Linked DNA regions of Caenorhabditis elegans. The protein of the gene in region 3 interacts with the protein of the main gene of each other region in a pairwise test. Each region holds a gene or a part of one and is shown on either strand. Other genes may lie near its edges.

Region 1 (6,868 bases), 6.5 Mb from region 3:
TTCGAGACCGGACGCCTTAGTTTGGTGTAAAAATCGTAAGGTTTTGCGTCTCGGTAATATATTTCAGGTAATTTTCCCCTCTAAAGTTATTGATATTATAAAAATTTTCAGCATCTGATACATCAATGGATTGTCACATGGAATCTATCGGAAGTCGTCGCCGTGACAGTTTAATCGAACAATTCCGCGATTTTTTGAACCGATCAATGGATTTTAGTGTCAAGATTGATGATCCATTTGAAAAAGAAATGTATTAAAATTATATCGTTTTCTTGTTGATTTTTGTAATTTTATATGTTGAAATTGTAATTTTTTGTTTCTGTAAATAAATGTACTTATATTGATTCGAAAATTTTAGATTTAACAGTTTTAGTTTCACTTCCGTATTTAGAAACATGGATTTTTGAATCGAGACTTTGGAGAACGATAGAAGCAATAAAATATTATAAAACACAACACACATGGAATATTCGTTTAAACAGAACGAGAGATTCAACAATTAAAGTCAAACAACAATGGCATTATTTTATTGCTAACTAAAAAGAGATAATTGAGAATTGTTATCTTAGATATGAAACGCTAGGATATACTAACACACAGAAACTAAATTTGATGTTTGAAAGCGAAGGAGATTTAGATTTTTCGAGAAATTTTCTTAAAATTTCGCACAAGCTGATTTGGAATACTGGAAGGTTAAGGGAAATATTTGAAGATTGAACGGTTTTAGAAGGAAAATGCATATATAATATTGATGGCGGCTTTACCATCGAGAGCCTCGATCATCTCGATTGCCACGATATGACGAACGGGAATGATGATTGGAAGACGAAGAATTATATTCGGAACGACGAGAAGATCCTTCAGTTGTTTCAGAATTGTTGTTGTAGTTATTTCGACTAACAAATGGAGAATTGAAACGATTCGATGATGAATGTCCCCGTTGGTTTCGTTGATGGAATGAACGATTGCTGTAGTTACGAGGGTTACTGTAGTCATTTCGAGACCATCTTTCATCGTAGTTTCTGTTGGAAGAACGTTCACGTGATGTCGATCTTCTTGAGCTACTGAAATTAGAAATTATATATTGTAATGATGGTTAAAACTGATCTGATTTTGAATTTAACTGCTTAAAAATTAAAACGTTTATAATTTTTTAATGATTTTTTTTCCATATCTTACTATCGTAATAAATATAAATGAAAATTAAATTAAATTAAAGATGGGCTAATTATTTTTAAATTCCCTGGCTGAACAAATGTTTTTCAGTATAAAAAATATTTAATATGAAGATGAGTTTTTCAATTTTTAGGCCAAAATAAATTCACTAAAACTTCAAAACTGACTTAAAAACAGTTTCACCGTTATAAATAATTTTTTCGCGGAAAACGAGCTGAAAACGTTAAACTAGGCAATTCATTAACGCGAGAATTTGAAAATAATTAGCCCATCTTTTTTTAATTTTGCAAAATTGATAGGAAACATCAAAAGTTGTTTTTTTTTAATTTTCAGATATTTCGTAAAAACTCACACATTTTCATTATATTTATTCTCCAAAACGTTTGTCGCACTGAGAATTCGAGTTGGAAGCAGTGATGCAATTGGCGGATTCATTGGATCTGGAGATGTAGCTGGTGGTGGAACAATTGGCTCATATGGTGAGAAGATTGATGGAATTGGAATTGATGGTAGAGTACTGAAAATAATAAAATAATATGGAGTACTGAATCTTTCCAAAAACGGGCAATTTTCAAAAAATTTCAAAAAACTTTCAAAAGGAATTAATATGTAACCTTACGGGAGAAAAATATTAATCTAAACTATTTACGTAAGAAAAAAACATCAAAACGAAATATTCAAAAAGGTTCAATTTCATCAGTTCTTATTTTTAATCATTTCACTCATCTGTTCGATTATCATTTTTCAATAAATCGAACTGTAATAGTGAGTTTATTTTTTTCGTCTATCGTTTCCGTTGAAGAACAATTTCCGCACACTTCCAGGCACGTGTGTAGTAGTTCAAAAATGTGTGTCACAAAGTGTAAGCAGAAGAAGAAAATGAAATCGGCGAAGAAGAATCTATCGACTCCTGGTACTGGTGGAAGTGTTAATCCCGAAATGAAGTCAATTTCACATTCGACAACAGCTCAATCGGGAGAGAAGGGAGCAAGCAAAATGGCAAAAGTTCCGTCCAAGGAGGTAAGAGAGGGATGGAAATATTATTAGAAGGGCGCAGATAAAAGTGGTGTTTGGCGGCGAAACCGTAAATTTAAAAAAAAATTCAGTTAGTTTCGCCAATTCTCAAGAGTTTTCAGGCATTTATTATTGGAAAATGACTTTTTTCAGAAGAGCAAGGGACCAAGGCAAAGTGATCGTGATGCAAAGGATGAACACAACGAGGCGGTGTCTCAACTCAAGAAGATTGCCGAAAAAGCTTCAGAAATGTCACATGGACCATCTGTAGCTCCACCAAGAAAACTGTAAGCACAATAATAACTAATTTCCCAATCATTCTCATTACAGTGACGCGAAACGCACTGTGACCGGAATGAAGGAAAGCAAAGATCCCGAGTATGTGACGCTGGATGACGATTTTCCGAAATTCGAGAAAGCAATACTGAAGGGCAACTCTAAAGAGGTGAGGAGTATTTATTTTTAGACTAATCTAAATATTTTCTTATTTTCCCAGGCTACGGAAACTCGAAAACTTGAGATAACGCAACAATTGTCTGTTGATGAAAAGAAGATTGCAGGAAGCAGCGAGAAAACTACTTAAAAACGAATAAAGCTTAATCTATGCAATTTTTACCTGTTATTTTCCTCTTTCGGTTGCTCTTCCTCTGTTTCTTCTTTAACTGGAATCTCATTTATTTCCATTGTAACATCATTCATAAGCACGTCTTCCACATCAATGATCTCTGGCTTTATTCTGACGATCTGCGACAGTTTTTGAGCAACTTCCGTATTGAATTGATGACATATGTATATGACGTCTTGCGGGAAATCATCGGTTCCACCAGTTTCGGAAACTTCTCCCGTAGCCACCGACGCTGCTTCTTCATGTTCTGAATCAGAATCGGACGACGAAGATCGGTTCGCATTGTATTGAGGAGCACGGCGAGTTTTCTGAAAATGTGTTTTGTAAGAATTGAAAAATTAAATTTCAATTAAAAAAAAATTTGGATGTCACTCTTGGTCGTGATGACTCCCGTAGATAATTTTTCTAAAAACTTACGTTAACGTCTCTCACTCGAACATCTGTGTCAAACGAGCGATCGACAGGAGCGCGGTTAACAGAATCCGACTTCTCCTGAATCTCATAATTACCCAGAAAACTTTAATAATTCAACAAACCCCAACTACAGTCTTATTCTCAATTGCTTCTAATCGAGACCACGGAAAGCATTTATTGATCATCTCGTTTATCATAGCATTTCGACGGCGACGAACTTGTTGAAATGTTGCATTTTTGTACACTGCCATGCTCGCTTTGTGTGTCTGGAATTCTTTGATTTTTTTTGTCAATTTCCTAGCTTTATTATAAATTAAATAAATAAAACTATACATCTTTCATATGAGAACTCAAATCACACTGTCTTCTGAATCCTTTTTCACATTCTCCAACTGGACATGTTAGCGGTGGAAGACTCGTCGTGTGCAGCTTCTCGATATGCTCTCGGCGCATATTTTTTCGAACTTCAGCACCAGTCATGCAAAGTTGACAAGCAAGATCCGAATTTGGGAGATCTGGATACGATCGATCCATCTGAAACTCATTTTTTCTTAATTTAAAAACTGCAACCTAGTTAGGATAAATGTAGATACAGGGTCAAAACTTATAATTTCAGTATGATAATCAATTAATTCAAATTAAAAATTAATATAACAGTGTGGGGGAAATGTTCATTCGATCTGAATATGATATTTATTTTTGAGAAAAAAACTCGAAAATTATCTCAAAAAGTGCAGGAAAGTCACCGTCAGGGCTGTAGATTTTTCGTTTTTTGTTTCGAAAAAAATAAGAATAATTCTTTTTTTTTCCTTCTCGAATTCAGATTTGCCTCAAAATGAAATATCATATTCCTTTTTTAAATTTGTTTTTGTAGATTTGCTGCACAGCCTTGTTCTCAATTTAATTTGTTTTCCTGTACATACCGCAGTTTTCAGCAAATCATCATAATCTTCTGGTGCTACATCAGCTGCCATGTGGGAACGAGTCACGTGTCCTTTTCGGAGAACTGTAAGATAAAAACTAAATTCGAATTTAGAGATTTCAAAAACTCACTAAAATCATAAACTATTTCTTCATTACAAACCGCACATTTCACTTTTGCAGCATCTCGTCTCTCTGGAACATTTGGATCAAACCATCCAATTAGTTTATCAATCGCTGACATTTCATCGTAATTTGCATTTTTTCCAGCTTTCTCTTGATTTTGAGCTGCTGTCATTGACTCGTTTCTTTTCTTCCTCGGTTTCTTTGTTTTATCAATAGATATATTATGTTCACTGGTTGTTGAATCAACTATAGCTTGAGCTGAACTTGATGAAGCTGGCTGAGCTGATGTTGAGGAGGCGTTGGGGCAGAGTGAGCTGAATATATCATTTTTAAAACGAGGGCTTTGTCGGAATCTAGGCATTGTTAAAATTGTATTTAGTGAATAAATACCTCTCAGAATTATTTGTTCTTCTATTTAAAAATGCAAATGGTGAAGTCGTAGAAGTTCCCGATTTTGCCTTTTTTGGCACTGGAGGAGATGTTGGAGTTACGACGGAACTTCTTTTATTCTTTGCACTATCAGTAGGAGTCTTTTTAACAGGTGAAGTCGGTGACACTGATCTCGGATCTCTTCCCCATCGCTTCTCAAGCACAGTTTCCATATCGTCAGTCGCTAGGGCGTATGCGTCTTCCACAACAACCGATATCATTTTGTCAATGTATGGGTTTACTGTCTTCTGAAGAAAAAAAACAATATTTTTAATTGTAGAAAATCGTCTCAAAACCTGAAAAGAGCGCTTGTGTCCGTGTTTCGAGCAATGAGCATTGAGCTCCTGTTGTGTGTAGAATCCCATATCACATGTGCTCTCTCCGCATGCATATCTCCTAAAATTATATATGAATTTAATAATAGAAATAACATTTAAAATCCTCACTTGTACTTAAAATGTTTGTAGAAGTGTGCGCCTTCCTCTTTCAGCGTTTCGCAGCACAATGGACACACTAATTGGTTCATATCTTAAAAATACGATTTCATAATTTAATCTCTGGCTGTGATTCAGATGATTGATCGGAAAAAGCGTATTAACTTGAATGATATGATTTGAATGATATTATCCAGCTTGAATGAGTAAAATTTATGTCTTCAGGAGTTTTTTCTCCATGTGGATCCACAAAGAAGACAAAATTAAATACCTTGTATGCTCACATTTTAAAAAAAGTAACAACTTTAGAAAAGTATTACCAGAGCCTTACCAATTGTGTTCTTGCCCATGGAAACTGATTAGAAAAACGAATGCGGGATAAAAATTAAGCCGTCAGAATTCACAAGTTCACTGCAAGAAGATGGGTGTGATATCACTTTACTCAATAAATATTTAAAGTGGAAACAATAAATGAAACTCTGTGACTGAGATACGTGAAGCGTTCACAAACTGGAAGAGGAATAATCGGGATAGAGAAAAATGAATAAAGAATTAAATTAGAGAAATTCAAATTGTATTTTTAATGAAACAATTGGGACTTGAGGAGTTGCTTAAGCTCTCGTTCCGTTCTTTCCTTCCTCCTCTTCGTTGTCTTCGAGATCTGGCATATCTGAAAATTTTTTATAATAAATAACATTTTAATACTACATTGGTTTTCTATCATTAACGAATTACTAATAGTAAGCAAAAAGGATATTATTGCACTTAATACTTACCGTCATCTTCCTCATCATCCTCAAGACCTCCGAAGTCTGCTCCGCCAGCTCCTCCCATCTGGGACATGTACTGGTTCAAATCGAATCCGTTCGCCATTCCACCGCCAATTCCGGCTCCGGCATCCTCAGCCTCATCATCCTCGTCTTCATCCTTCCATTTTCCAAAGTCAACCTTCAACCAATGGACCTTTCCCTTGTTTTGAAGAAGTCTTGGCCACCAGGCTGGGGTCTTCTTCTGAACTGTGATCTCAACGACGCGGGTTGAAGATCCAGTGTGCTTTACGGATGCAGGATCGATTTCGTCGAAGAATTCGAGAGTTGCTTCGTACTTGTCAGTTTTGCTGCTTCCTCTGAAAATTTACGAATTACGACTCATTCTATGTACCATCATGAACATTCTGTGAATATTTAGGAAGCAAGAAATATGCTTCATATCGTATTTAAACATTTAAAATAGAAATCGAAATATTAATCCGAAACGTACTGGAAGTGAAGCTTGTTTCCCTCTCCTTTCAGTTCCTCGATTTTCGCCTCATCAACCTCGATGGTCAGATAGACAAGTGATTCACGCTGGGCCCAGAGAACTGTTGGTTGCTTAGCCATGGTTTTTGCCTGTAATTCGAAAAGAGAACTAGACGGATACGAACAATAATCAATAAAATTCAAGGAAGGTGCACGACATATAAATAAGCGCACAGTTGAAATTAGCATGATTATGCAAATTGACGAAAATAAAGCCATCAGATGAAAATGTTTTCATATCACGGCAATAACAAGCAAGAATTGTCCACTTAATTTCTTTTTTCGATTGATTTTTCTCTTACAACCTTTTTCTCCTAAATACAAGGACTATTGGCCAAAATCGATATATTTTAAGTGCGAATGGCATTGAATATAAACGTAAATGGATTAGAAATATAAAGTCGCGAATGTTCTTCAGGAAAATTGCCATG
Region 2 (4,091 bases), on a different chromosome or scaffold from region 3:
ACAACAACAAGCAATCACTTTGAATGATTTGGAGTTTTGCAACATTCATGGAGTTGTATGTACCAATATTATGTCGAGAGGAATCGATGTGTCTTCTGTGAAACAGGTAAGTTTACATATATATTAAATTGATAAAAACATGGCTACTATTGACCCAAATATTTTTTATCTTAAGTCACATATTTCAGACAATAATCATGGAAATGTCCACCGATTTTCCGAGCTACATGCATAGAATCGGACGAGTTGGTCGCGATGGATGTGGTGGAAGAGCTACTGTCCTCATCGATGAGCATCATTTATTTGGCGGACCAATGTCGAATATTATCGAGCAGCTGTGTTCTTTTATGCTCGAATGCGAGGAAACGCTTCCCAATTGGCTTGTAGAATGGCTGAAGTTGCGTCAATCACTTTAATTGAATCACATATCAATTTCCTATTTTGTGCCGGTTTTTATCGCTTTTCTATGTATCTGATCCTGTATTTTATATTCATTGAACTAATCGAACTCGTAAATAGGTTTTAAAATTTTTTTATTATAAAACAAGAAAGGCTATCCAGCATCAAAATGGATGCTCAATAAATTAATAAAACAATCAATTAACCCGAGAGAATAGGAGAGACTTGAATGCGGGGGAATTGTGATGGAGTGGGGGCGATTGTATGAAGCGAGTTGAAAAGCTGTGCACGATTTGCTTAGAGCTCATCGTGTCCTTCCTCCTCTTCCTTCTCCTCCTCATCATCATCCTTCTTGGCCTCCTTCTCCTCCTCGGCCTTCTTGCGAGCCTCCTCCTCAGCCTTGCGGGTTTCTTCGTCGGCCTTCTCCTTCTTTTCCTTCTCAACAGTCTTCAATTTGTCAAAAGTCTCGGCAGCATGGGCCTCGGCCTCCTCAACAGAGTCGGTGATGATAATGTTGTCAAAGATCGTTCCTGACTTGACCTGAAAAAATAAAGTTTGAGTTTCATTTTTGAAAAATAGAATAAAAGTTTCTTACCTGCCACAAATCGAATCCGATGGCTCCCCAGCTTTCATAAGAGTAGAGTTCATCATCAGGAGTGTACTCTGGGTTCTCAATCTCTGGATGGATCCACTTGCCCTTGTAGGCTGGGTTCTTGATCTGCTTTGGCTTCCACTCACCCTTGTATTCTGGGTTGTCGATCATTGGTGGCTCCCATTCTCCGTCCATCTCGTCATCCCAGTCTTCTGGCTTCTTGGCATCTGGATCTGGGATGTGCTCTGGCTTCTCCCAATCTTCTGGCTTGGCATCCTCGGCATCATCGATGTACTCACGCTCATCCCAGTCCTCTGGCTTCTTTGCATCTGGATCCTTGATCTTCTTGGCTGGAAGAAGATCCCAGTCCTCCTCGAGGCTTCCAGTTTGGGCGCTTTCTCCGTCGATCTTGACTTCGTAGGTATTGTCGGAGTTGAGGATGAGAGTGTAGAGATGAGTGAGTTCGTCGCTCTTGCAGGTGATTTCCTTCTTGATGAGCTTGTTCTCTCCCTTGTAGTTAAGGATAACGTGGACACGGCGAGTTGGTCCGCAGATGTCTGGGCCGAACATGACGTTGTATGGGGTCTCTCCGTGGAAATCTCCCAAGTCAGCATCAGCTCTCATGACCTGGAAAATAAATATTGTTTTAATTGAGAAACATGTTTTGATACTAACAAACTAATGCGAAAAAATTATCACATCAAGAAATTTAAAATACTAACCTTAACGTATCCACCTCCACAGTCGATTCCTTGCTCGTGCTTGACGGTGTATTGGATCACAAGAGTCTTTCCTTTGTTGGAGAAGTCCTTGTCGAACTTGGCGGCACGGGAGTAGAACTTGGCATCTTGGCTGGTCTGGATTCCTTGGTCGCGGGACTCAACATCGAAGAACTTTCCAGCTGAGAGCTTGAAGGCTCCAAAGTCATCCTTGTGCTTGGATTGAACCCATCGCTTCTCCCATGAGGCGTCGTTGAACTCCTCTTTGAAGTAGACTTCAGCCGAAACGACGGCAACGATTGCTAACAGGCAGAGTGATTTCATTTCGTTTTTCGATAAAACGACACCAAGTTGAATCTGAAATTAAAAAGTAAATATAACAATTAAACATATGAATCGGAAAAAGAAGAGATAAATTGAATGAGAATATACCAAAGAATAAAATTCGAGAATTTCAGAGAAGAAAGACTAGAAATGAAACCGAACAAGAGCAAAACTGAAACTGATGATGTTGAACTGAGCTCGTCTGCTACGACAATGGAGTAAGTCGACGTGTGTCTTGCGTGGCTGACACGGCTCGAGGTGCCGCGTATCTATTGGTCCACGTCAGCGACTGGCCAATCGGCGGTCGCCACACATTGAGAATAGGCGGAGCGTGTCTGATGAGAGGCCACGTTGCGTGTCGGCCTCGCACTGCGAAGAGAGCGAGAGAGTGAGTGAGTTGAAGAGATGCAGACGGAGAGCATTTTGGGATAAGGAAATAATGCCCTTGCGGGTGGACAGCAGTCCAGCAGAGGGCTTTTTGATATTATCGCAATTGGGAATCTGATTGAAAAGAACAGAAACAGCTGAGATCAGTATTCTTTAAGGGGTTTAGAACTTTCCATGCTTATTTTGCACTAAATTTCTAGACTTTCGGATTTAAAAATTGGATCACACAGCCAGAATGTAGTAGAATGTATTTATCAACCAATTTCTGAATGAAACCAACGATAAAAACACATTATCGCGTTTATGTGGACATGACGAATCGAAAAATCGCCCTTGACACAGTTATCCATTTTTTGCTTCGTTTTGCAAAACCAGTTTCACAAAAGACGCATGACAAAAATGATGAACCATCGGAAAAAGATGGAAACTACATTTTAAACGACCGTTTGTGTAAATAAAACAATGAAAATGGCGAAAATGAGAGACAAGAAGACTGAAAAAGGCTGAAACGGATGAATAAAATTTGAATGGCGCTTTGGCGCCATCGTTTGGTGTTTGCGTAAATTGCGTACTCTGGAGAAAATTGTGGTTGACCGTATCACTCGTGAGCCAAAGCTGAAATTTGAGCATAATTGAATAAATGCACATATTTTTCAAAGTGGTGATATTTTTCTGGTGTTTCCTGGATTGTTTCTGAAATATCATTTCCAGATTCGAAATTAGTACTGCTCATTATAAAAGTGGTGCTTCAATTCTCTTATCAAGTCCTGGTGGACTCCAGGAGTACAGCACTCGTTATCATCTAAATTATAAAATTGATAAATTCTATATGAAAACATAGTATGAAGAATAATGTGAATATTTTATTAGCTGGCCAGTACAAACGAGTTCCTCTTTACCAAAAGGTACATTGTAAACAATTCGGCATTGAGAACAAACAATAAGTGCATTTTCAAATATTTATTCGGTCCTGGTCAAGAGAAAGATCGGCGACGAGAAGTACCTCGTTAGCCACGCGTCATTTCCACAATTTTTTCACATTCGCATGCTACTCGGGCTCGGTTCACCTGAACATCTAGAATTATAATTTTTTCAGGAATATTTTTAGACCTCTGAACTCCAGGAAACTGCATTTCGAACAAAAAGTCTGACACGATCACAAGTTGACGTAATATAAGGAAAGGTGTAGAGCATTGCAAAATGATTTCGATCTTGCCTGAAATTTATCACGAAATGATATTGTAATTTACCGTACTCCTTACTATAGCTTTAAATTATTCAAATGCCTACCTGCCTGCCTGGAAGCAAAACTTCAAGAGACCTACGTCTACTGTTAAGTTCAATGCAAGCCACACCTGCCTTCTAGGCACATAGGTAGGCACTTATCAATATTGAGGTAGTCCTACTTCTCACAGTGTCTACAGTATGACATCGGCAAGAAATCGGTTTTTGATTATTTAAAAAATCTAACTAAATCCAAAAAATAAAATGAAACTTACACTGGTTTCTTGGTAATTTCTGGGCAAAACTCGTTGGTTGAGATTCCTGAATACTTTTGAAGCCTACTCAACTCGTAGTCCATATGCTTCATGTTTCTCTCAATAGTTGCATTGTTCCACACAAATACAGTTTCGATTTTGATCTCCCCGCCTGCACATTTTCCTTTTGTG
Region 3 (5,679 bases):
AATTTCGGCAGGAGACTTTAATTTTCTTTAAAAATACACAAACTTGGGGATTTTTAGGGCTACAAGAAGTTTTGCATTCATTTTCCACATAATATTGCCGGCAAAAAACTCTAAAAATTAATTAGAATTTGAAGAAATCCTAAAAACACATCGATTTTTCAGGGGGTTCTGGCCTTCCTCATTGCATTTTTTGCGCTCCATTGACAATCGCCCGACGGGCAACGCATGGGAAAGTGTCGTGTACTCCACACGGATAAATACATTTAGTTTTACTATCGAGCCGCGACGCGACACGCAACGCGCCGTAAATCTACCCCAGATATGGCTGAGCCAAAATGGCTTAGTTCGGCAAAAACTCTTCCATTTCAATTTATGAGGGAAGCCAGAAATCCTTGTTTTTTTTTTGAAAAAAATCCACGATTCTGTGTATTTTGACGTGACGGTGTACTACGTACCGAGCATTTTATTCGACGAGACACTCACTGAAAAAAAACCCAATTTTTAAAAATTTTTCTCATTTCAAAATGCAATATTCGTAATAAAAATCAATATTTATTTGAAAATTTAAATCAACAGCGAGAATTGCAAGAAGCACGAAAAAGAAGAAAATATTAATTTTTTTTGCGTGCGTTTCGGTGCAGTTTTTCGGGTTTTTATACCCGGGAGATGAGGGTACACTTGTTGCAAAACTCGGGGATCGAACATTAAAAAAAAATTAAAAATGTATATAATATTTTATTCTTCTTCATCAGCGGGCACCGTCAGAAATTCAATGTAGCTTGCGTTTCCCTCGCCGTGATCGATTGAAAATTGACAGGAGAGGACGCCACGCTCGTCGACACGGAGGATGAGCTGGAAAAAACTTAAATTGTAAAGTTTGCATCAAAAAATTCGAGACATTTTTTTTTAGAAAATTGAAAAAAAAATTTCGAAGAAAAACATTTTTTCTAATTTTTTCTCGATTTTTGAAACTAAAATTTGATTTGGAGCATAACGTTTTAATTTATTTTTCGATTTTTTTGGCCAATTTTGGAGTTTTTGGGGTTTTTTTTCGGGGAAAAAAACGGAAAAATGTTGATATTTTTTGTTGCAAAATTGGAAAAATCGTTAAAAATGCTTTAGACATTTTATTTATTTTTTTCGAAATTTTTTTCTGTTTTTGAAAAAAAAATGAAAATTTTTTTTTTCAAATTTAAAAAAATTTTCAAAAATCGAAATATTTTTCGAAAGGAAAATTAATTTTTTCACAAATAAATTTATTTTTCTAAAAAAATCGGCTCAATTTTTTAAATTAAAAATTATAGTGAAAATAATTTTCACAAATTTTTTCAGATTTTTTTCAAAAAATTTCGAAAAAAATTTTTTTTTTCCCCCAATTTTTTCATATTTTTAATGAATTTTTCCTGGAACCATGATAACTTTAACTAGGAAAAATCTAGCAGATAGGCTAAATTTCTTTCCAGAAACTACCTTTGTAGCCAGTATAAAGGCGGTAGTCATTCGTTGAATAAGCGACAGAAGATAGCTAAATTCAACTTCTTCAAGGCACTTTACACTTTCCATTTGAAGGCTTCGAGACGGTATTGATACCTGAAAGTATAAAAAATTTGGTTTTAATTTTTTAAAAAATATTTTTTCAAAACAATTTTTTTTTTTTTTTTTTGAGTTAAAAAATTAAAATTTTTTTCTTTTTAATTTCCTAAAATTTATTTAATTTTCAATTTGAAAAATCCTACTGTAGTCTCGCCAACATCACCGAAAGTCGTGAAACACAGTGAATTCTTGGTGAATTGAATTCTCACCGTTCGGCTTGTGTCATCGAAGTCCTGAAATAGAGAAAAAAAATTAAAAATTCGTATTTTTTTAATGCAAAAATAAGAATTTTTATTTGAATTTTAGAATTTGCGCGTCAAATCATAAGTATTGGACGTCGATTTTTTTGGGTTTGGGTTGGAAATTCTGCAATTTAATCGATTTTTTTTTATTTTCGAAAAATTGAAACAATAAAAACTACTTTTTAAGCGAAAATCGAATTTTCAAGTAAAATTTTTTTTCCAAAATTGAAAACGGAAAATTTTCGTTTTTAGCTCAAAAAGTCGGAATTTTCGGATTTTTTTTTTGGTTTTTTTTAATTTTGAAAAATTAGAAAATCGGAAAAATATCAAGGTTTTTTCAATCAAAAACGGATTTTTTTTTTGAAAAGTAATGAAAAATTCGAAAAAAAAATTTTTTTCAGAAAATGTTTTAAAATATGAAAAACAGACCAAAAAACACCGATTTTTCTGAACGGAAAACATTTTTTTTCGTTTTTCGACAAAAAAGTATCGAAAAATAAAAATAAAACGTTTTTTTTTTCAAAATTGAAAAACGGAAAATGTTCGTTTTTGGCTCTAAAATTCGGAATTTTCTGGTTTTTTTCGTCTTTTTTTGTTGAAAAATTAGAAAATCGGAAAAACCGAAAAATTTTTTTTCAAAAAAGTCGAAAAAAAGTTTTTTTTCAGAAAATGTTTTAAAATGTGGGAAAAAACCCAAAAACAATAATTTTCTGAAGGGAAACCGATTTTTTTTTTCGTTTTTCGACTAAAAAATTTAAAAAAAAATGGTTTTTTTTTCAAAAAAGCTAATTTTTTCAGAAATTTTTTTTTGGAGTCGAAAAAAACCAAAAAATGTTAATCTGTCAGAACAAAAAGAAATTTTTTTGTTTTTGCGACATTCGAGTAGTTTTTTATTTCATTTTGAAAAAATCCAAAAAAAAATTTTTTTCCAAAAAGTCAAAAAAAAAATTCAGAAAATGTTTTAAAATATGAAAAAAACCGAAAAACACCGATTTTTCTGAAGGGAAACCGATTTTTTTTGTTTTTTCACTAAAAAAGTAAAAAAAAAAGTTTTTTATTTAATTTCAAAAAAAAAACATTTTTTTCGAAAATCCAAAAAAAAAAATTTTTTTTGGAAAATGTCTGGAGTTTAATAAATTTTTTTCGAATGTTTAAAGGTTTCAATGATAAAACCTTGATAATCTCCTTGAGAACTTGAGTTTTAAGCAGATAGGTCGCCAGCACACCAGCGTCATCGAATTCAAAGTCGAGCTCCTAAAAATAGACAAAAAAAAATCTAGGAATTTCGAAAACCCGGCGAACTTGATCTGCCAGCGTTGTTGTAAAATTGCCACGTGCCACCCATCCGTCTGCGTCTTCAACAAGCATTTTCACAGGCTGAAACATTCCCGGATACGAGACTTTTACAGAACTCGACGAGTTTTCCGAAATGCTCAGGAATTCCTGGAATTTTTTTGTTTTTTGCCACTTTTTTGGGCTTTTATGGGCTTTTAAAGGCTCACAGAAATCGATTTAATCGAGATTTTCATCGAAACTATCTCCTCGCGAACTTTAAAACTCGAGAAGAACGCCGGATTGATAAAAACGCTGGCCAGCTGATAGGATCCATCGTCGACTGTGATCTTCATGCCCGCCTCGGAAGCGTGCCACGTTCCTGTCTGGAAAATTGAAAAATTTAGATTTTTTCTCAAAAAAAATGAAATTAATATCGATATTTTCCAACACTAACATCCTTAAAAGCGACGGTTTTGAAGACCTGCGCGAGCTCCTTCACATTTTCTTTTTTCAATTCCATAATTGTGCATTGACCCGTTTCTAATTCCATCATTTTTCCTGAAAAAATTTAAATTTTAACCGGAAAACTGAGAAAAATCGCTGAAAATTAAATATAAATTAAAAAATTAATTCTCGCACCGTTTTCCGAGAGGAGTACACCTGCGGAGTTTTGTAGGCCATCGCACCTCGTCCCTCTCATTTGCGCGGAAATTCAAATTTGAAACCTCCGATTTTCGATCTTTTCACCCTTATTTTACACTGTGGCCAGTGTAAAGTACTTTTTCTTTTTGCGAAAAAGATTTTTCTTTCGAAAGCGAGAGAAGCTCACTGATTGCGTGACACACTCATCCGTCGTATCATTTTTGCTCGAAACTAGTTTACAACTTTTATGTGTGCGTGTGTGTGTGTGCTCTTTTTGGCTCCGGATGAGCTGAGCGGACCACGGAGCTATTATGAAATCCCGCGGTCCCCCATATAAACATGAAAAAAGAGCAATTTTTGGGAGTTTTTGGTGGGAGACGGGGAGGGCAATTTGTTCATACATCAATGCGTTTTTGTGTATTTGCTTTTTTTTTCTTTAGGAAGTTTCGAGATTTTTACGATTTTCCAGGCATTTAGTAGATCCCTAGTGTCCACATTTTCCACGTGGAGTACACGACGCGTGGTCAAATCTGGTGCATTGAATTTTTCGCGCTCCATTGACAATCTCCTGCCGGAAAGGACATTTTCCACGTGGAGTACACGGAACGTGGCCTAGAAAACTTTTCTTGGATCTTCACGGGGTTCTGGCCTTCCTCATTGATTTATTCGCGCTTCATTGATAATCGCCCGCCAGACAACTAAAATCGAGCCGCGACGCGACACGCAACGCGCCGTAAATCTACCGCAGATATGGCCTGAGAGACGCAGGGGTTTTTTTGAAGAAGGATATTTGATGGGACAATGGGAAGAAAAAAGGGATTTACAACTTGAAAATTCAAATTTTGCGCGTCAAATCTGGTGCATTGAATTTTTCGCGCTCCATTGACAATCGCCTGCCGGACAACGCGTGGTAAAGTCGTGTACTCCACACGGACAAATTCATTTAGTTTTACAACTAAAATCGAGCCGCGACACGGAACGCGCCGTAAATCTACTCCAGATATGGCTGAGCCAAAATGGCCTAGTTCGGCAAACTCTTCCATTTCATTTTATGAGGGAAGCCAGAAATCCGTAGTTTTTCTCTAGAATTTTTCTAATTCTATTTTTGTCATGCTAGTTCTTTTCCTCAAATTTGGTAAAATTTGTACTTTTTTACTTGTACTTGAGAATTTGTACTTCAGAAAAATAAGGCAAAAACCGCTTGTCCACGGGGAGTACACGACACGTGGCCTAGAAAACTCAGCGCGGTATTTCAAATTAAATTTCATGCCTTTTTCTGTGTTTTCTGTTATTTTATTACGCTAACAAAAAATCCTGAGAATGCGTATTGGGCAACATATTTGACGCACAAAATATCTCGTAGCGAAAACAAAACTACAGTAACCCTTTAAATTACTACTGTAGTGCGTGTGTCGATTTACGGGCTCGATCAATGATAAATGAATTCATTTCGAAAATCGAGATCCCGTAAATCGACACTACAAATGTCATTTAAAGAATCACTGTAGTTTGCTTTTCGCAACGAGATATTTTGCGCGTCAAATATGTTGTGCAGTACGCATTCTCAGAATTTTTTGTTCCCGTAATATTCTTGCTCCGCATTCAAATTTGAGCCGAGAGAGAAGAAAATCTTGTTTTTTTTTTCGAAATTTCCACGACTCCGCCTCCTGTGTGTGTGTGCATTTTTTGGTTCGTTAGCGCTTGAGGCTATGGGCTCTGTCGAGCTCATTTTTCTGTTTTTTTTTCGTGCTCCCCTTCCTATTTTGGCTCGCGGAGCTCAGCTATAAAGCGAGAAAATTGGTCTATAAAATTTTGATGAAATTGAATTTTTTAATTGCTCTGTAACTGAAAAAATTATTAAATAAAAATTTAATTCCCGCTATAATTTTTTGGTATGCGCCTTTAAATTGTGAACTACAGTAGGTTC

What was found. The genes of interacting proteins can lie anywhere in the genome.
Region 1: the proteins of mrt-2 (region 3) and ztf-8 interact in a two-hybrid assay, tested with the Caenorhabditis elegans proteins (2 studies listed by BioGRID).
Region 2: the proteins of mrt-2 (region 3) and crt-1 interact in a two-hybrid assay, tested with the Caenorhabditis elegans proteins (2 studies listed by BioGRID).

Annotation. Positions count from the first base shown.
Region 1 is NC_003281.10:5,268,239-5,275,106, forward strand, and holds ztf-8 (C2H2-type domain-containing protein), read right to left. Parts: upstream 5,234-6,868; 5' UTR 5,232-5,233; coding exon 5,152-5,231; intron 5,102-5,151; coding exon 5,002-5,101; intron 4,954-5,001; coding exon 4,667-4,953; intron 4,591-4,666; coding exon 4,283-4,590; intron 4,236-4,282; coding exon 4,153-4,235; intron 3,764-4,152; coding exon 3,563-3,763; intron 3,496-3,562; coding exon 3,352-3,495; intron 3,308-3,351; coding exon 3,233-3,307; intron 3,124-3,232; coding exon 2,807-3,123; intron 2,798-2,806; exon of another isoform or gene 2,774-2,797; coding exon of another isoform or gene 2,687-2,773; intron 2,636-2,686; coding exon of another isoform or gene 2,521-2,635; intron 2,478-2,520; coding exon of another isoform or gene 2,344-2,477; intron 2,197-2,343; coding exon of another isoform or gene 2,023-2,196; exon of another isoform or gene 2,001-2,022; intron 1,942-2,000; exon of another isoform or gene 1,888-1,941; intron 1,694-1,887; coding exon 1,529-1,693; intron 1,065-1,528; coding exon 761-1,064; 3' UTR 517-760; downstream 1-516. Other genes in the region: ZC395.5 (Ovule protein), read left to right, coding at 112-257; ZC395.4 (uncharacterized protein), read left to right, coding at 2,023-2,196, 2,344-2,477, 2,521-2,635, 2,687-2,773; Co-chaperone protein daf-41, read right to left, coding at 5,751-5,809, 5,916-6,265, 6,400-6,518.
Region 2 is NC_003283.11:6,098,476-6,102,566, forward strand, and holds crt-1 (Calreticulin), read right to left. Parts: upstream 2,068-4,091; 5' UTR 2,035-2,067; coding exon 1,714-2,034; intron 1,619-1,713; coding exon 995-1,618; intron 940-994; coding exon 697-939; 3' UTR 517-696; downstream 1-516. Other genes in the region: smut-1 (Synthetic MUTator), read left to right, coding at 1-106, 189-416; Y38A10A.11 (DNA-directed DNA polymerase), read right to left, coding at 3,429-3,488, 3,532-3,637, 3,921-4,012. UniProt on the Caenorhabditis elegans protein: Molecular calcium-binding chaperone promoting folding, oligomeric assembly and quality control in the endoplasmic reticulum (ER) via the calreticulin/calnexin cycle.
Region 3 is NC_003281.10:11,745,033-11,750,711, reverse strand, and holds mrt-2 (Cell cycle checkpoint protein RAD1 homolog mrt-2), read right to left. Parts: upstream 3,947-5,679; 5' UTR 3,750-3,946; intron 3,669-3,749; 5' UTR 3,664-3,668; coding exon 3,565-3,663; intron 3,494-3,564; coding exon 3,338-3,493; intron 3,279-3,337; coding exon 3,138-3,278; intron 3,090-3,137; coding exon 3,009-3,089; intron 1,827-3,008; coding exon 1,737-1,826; intron 1,591-1,736; coding exon 1,471-1,590; intron 853-1,470; coding exon 736-852; 3' UTR 537-735; downstream 1-536. UniProt on the Caenorhabditis elegans protein: May be a component of the 9-1-1 cell-cycle checkpoint response complex that plays a major role in DNA repair. Promotes DNA double strand break-induced cell cycle arrest and apoptosis, thereby playing a role in genome stability.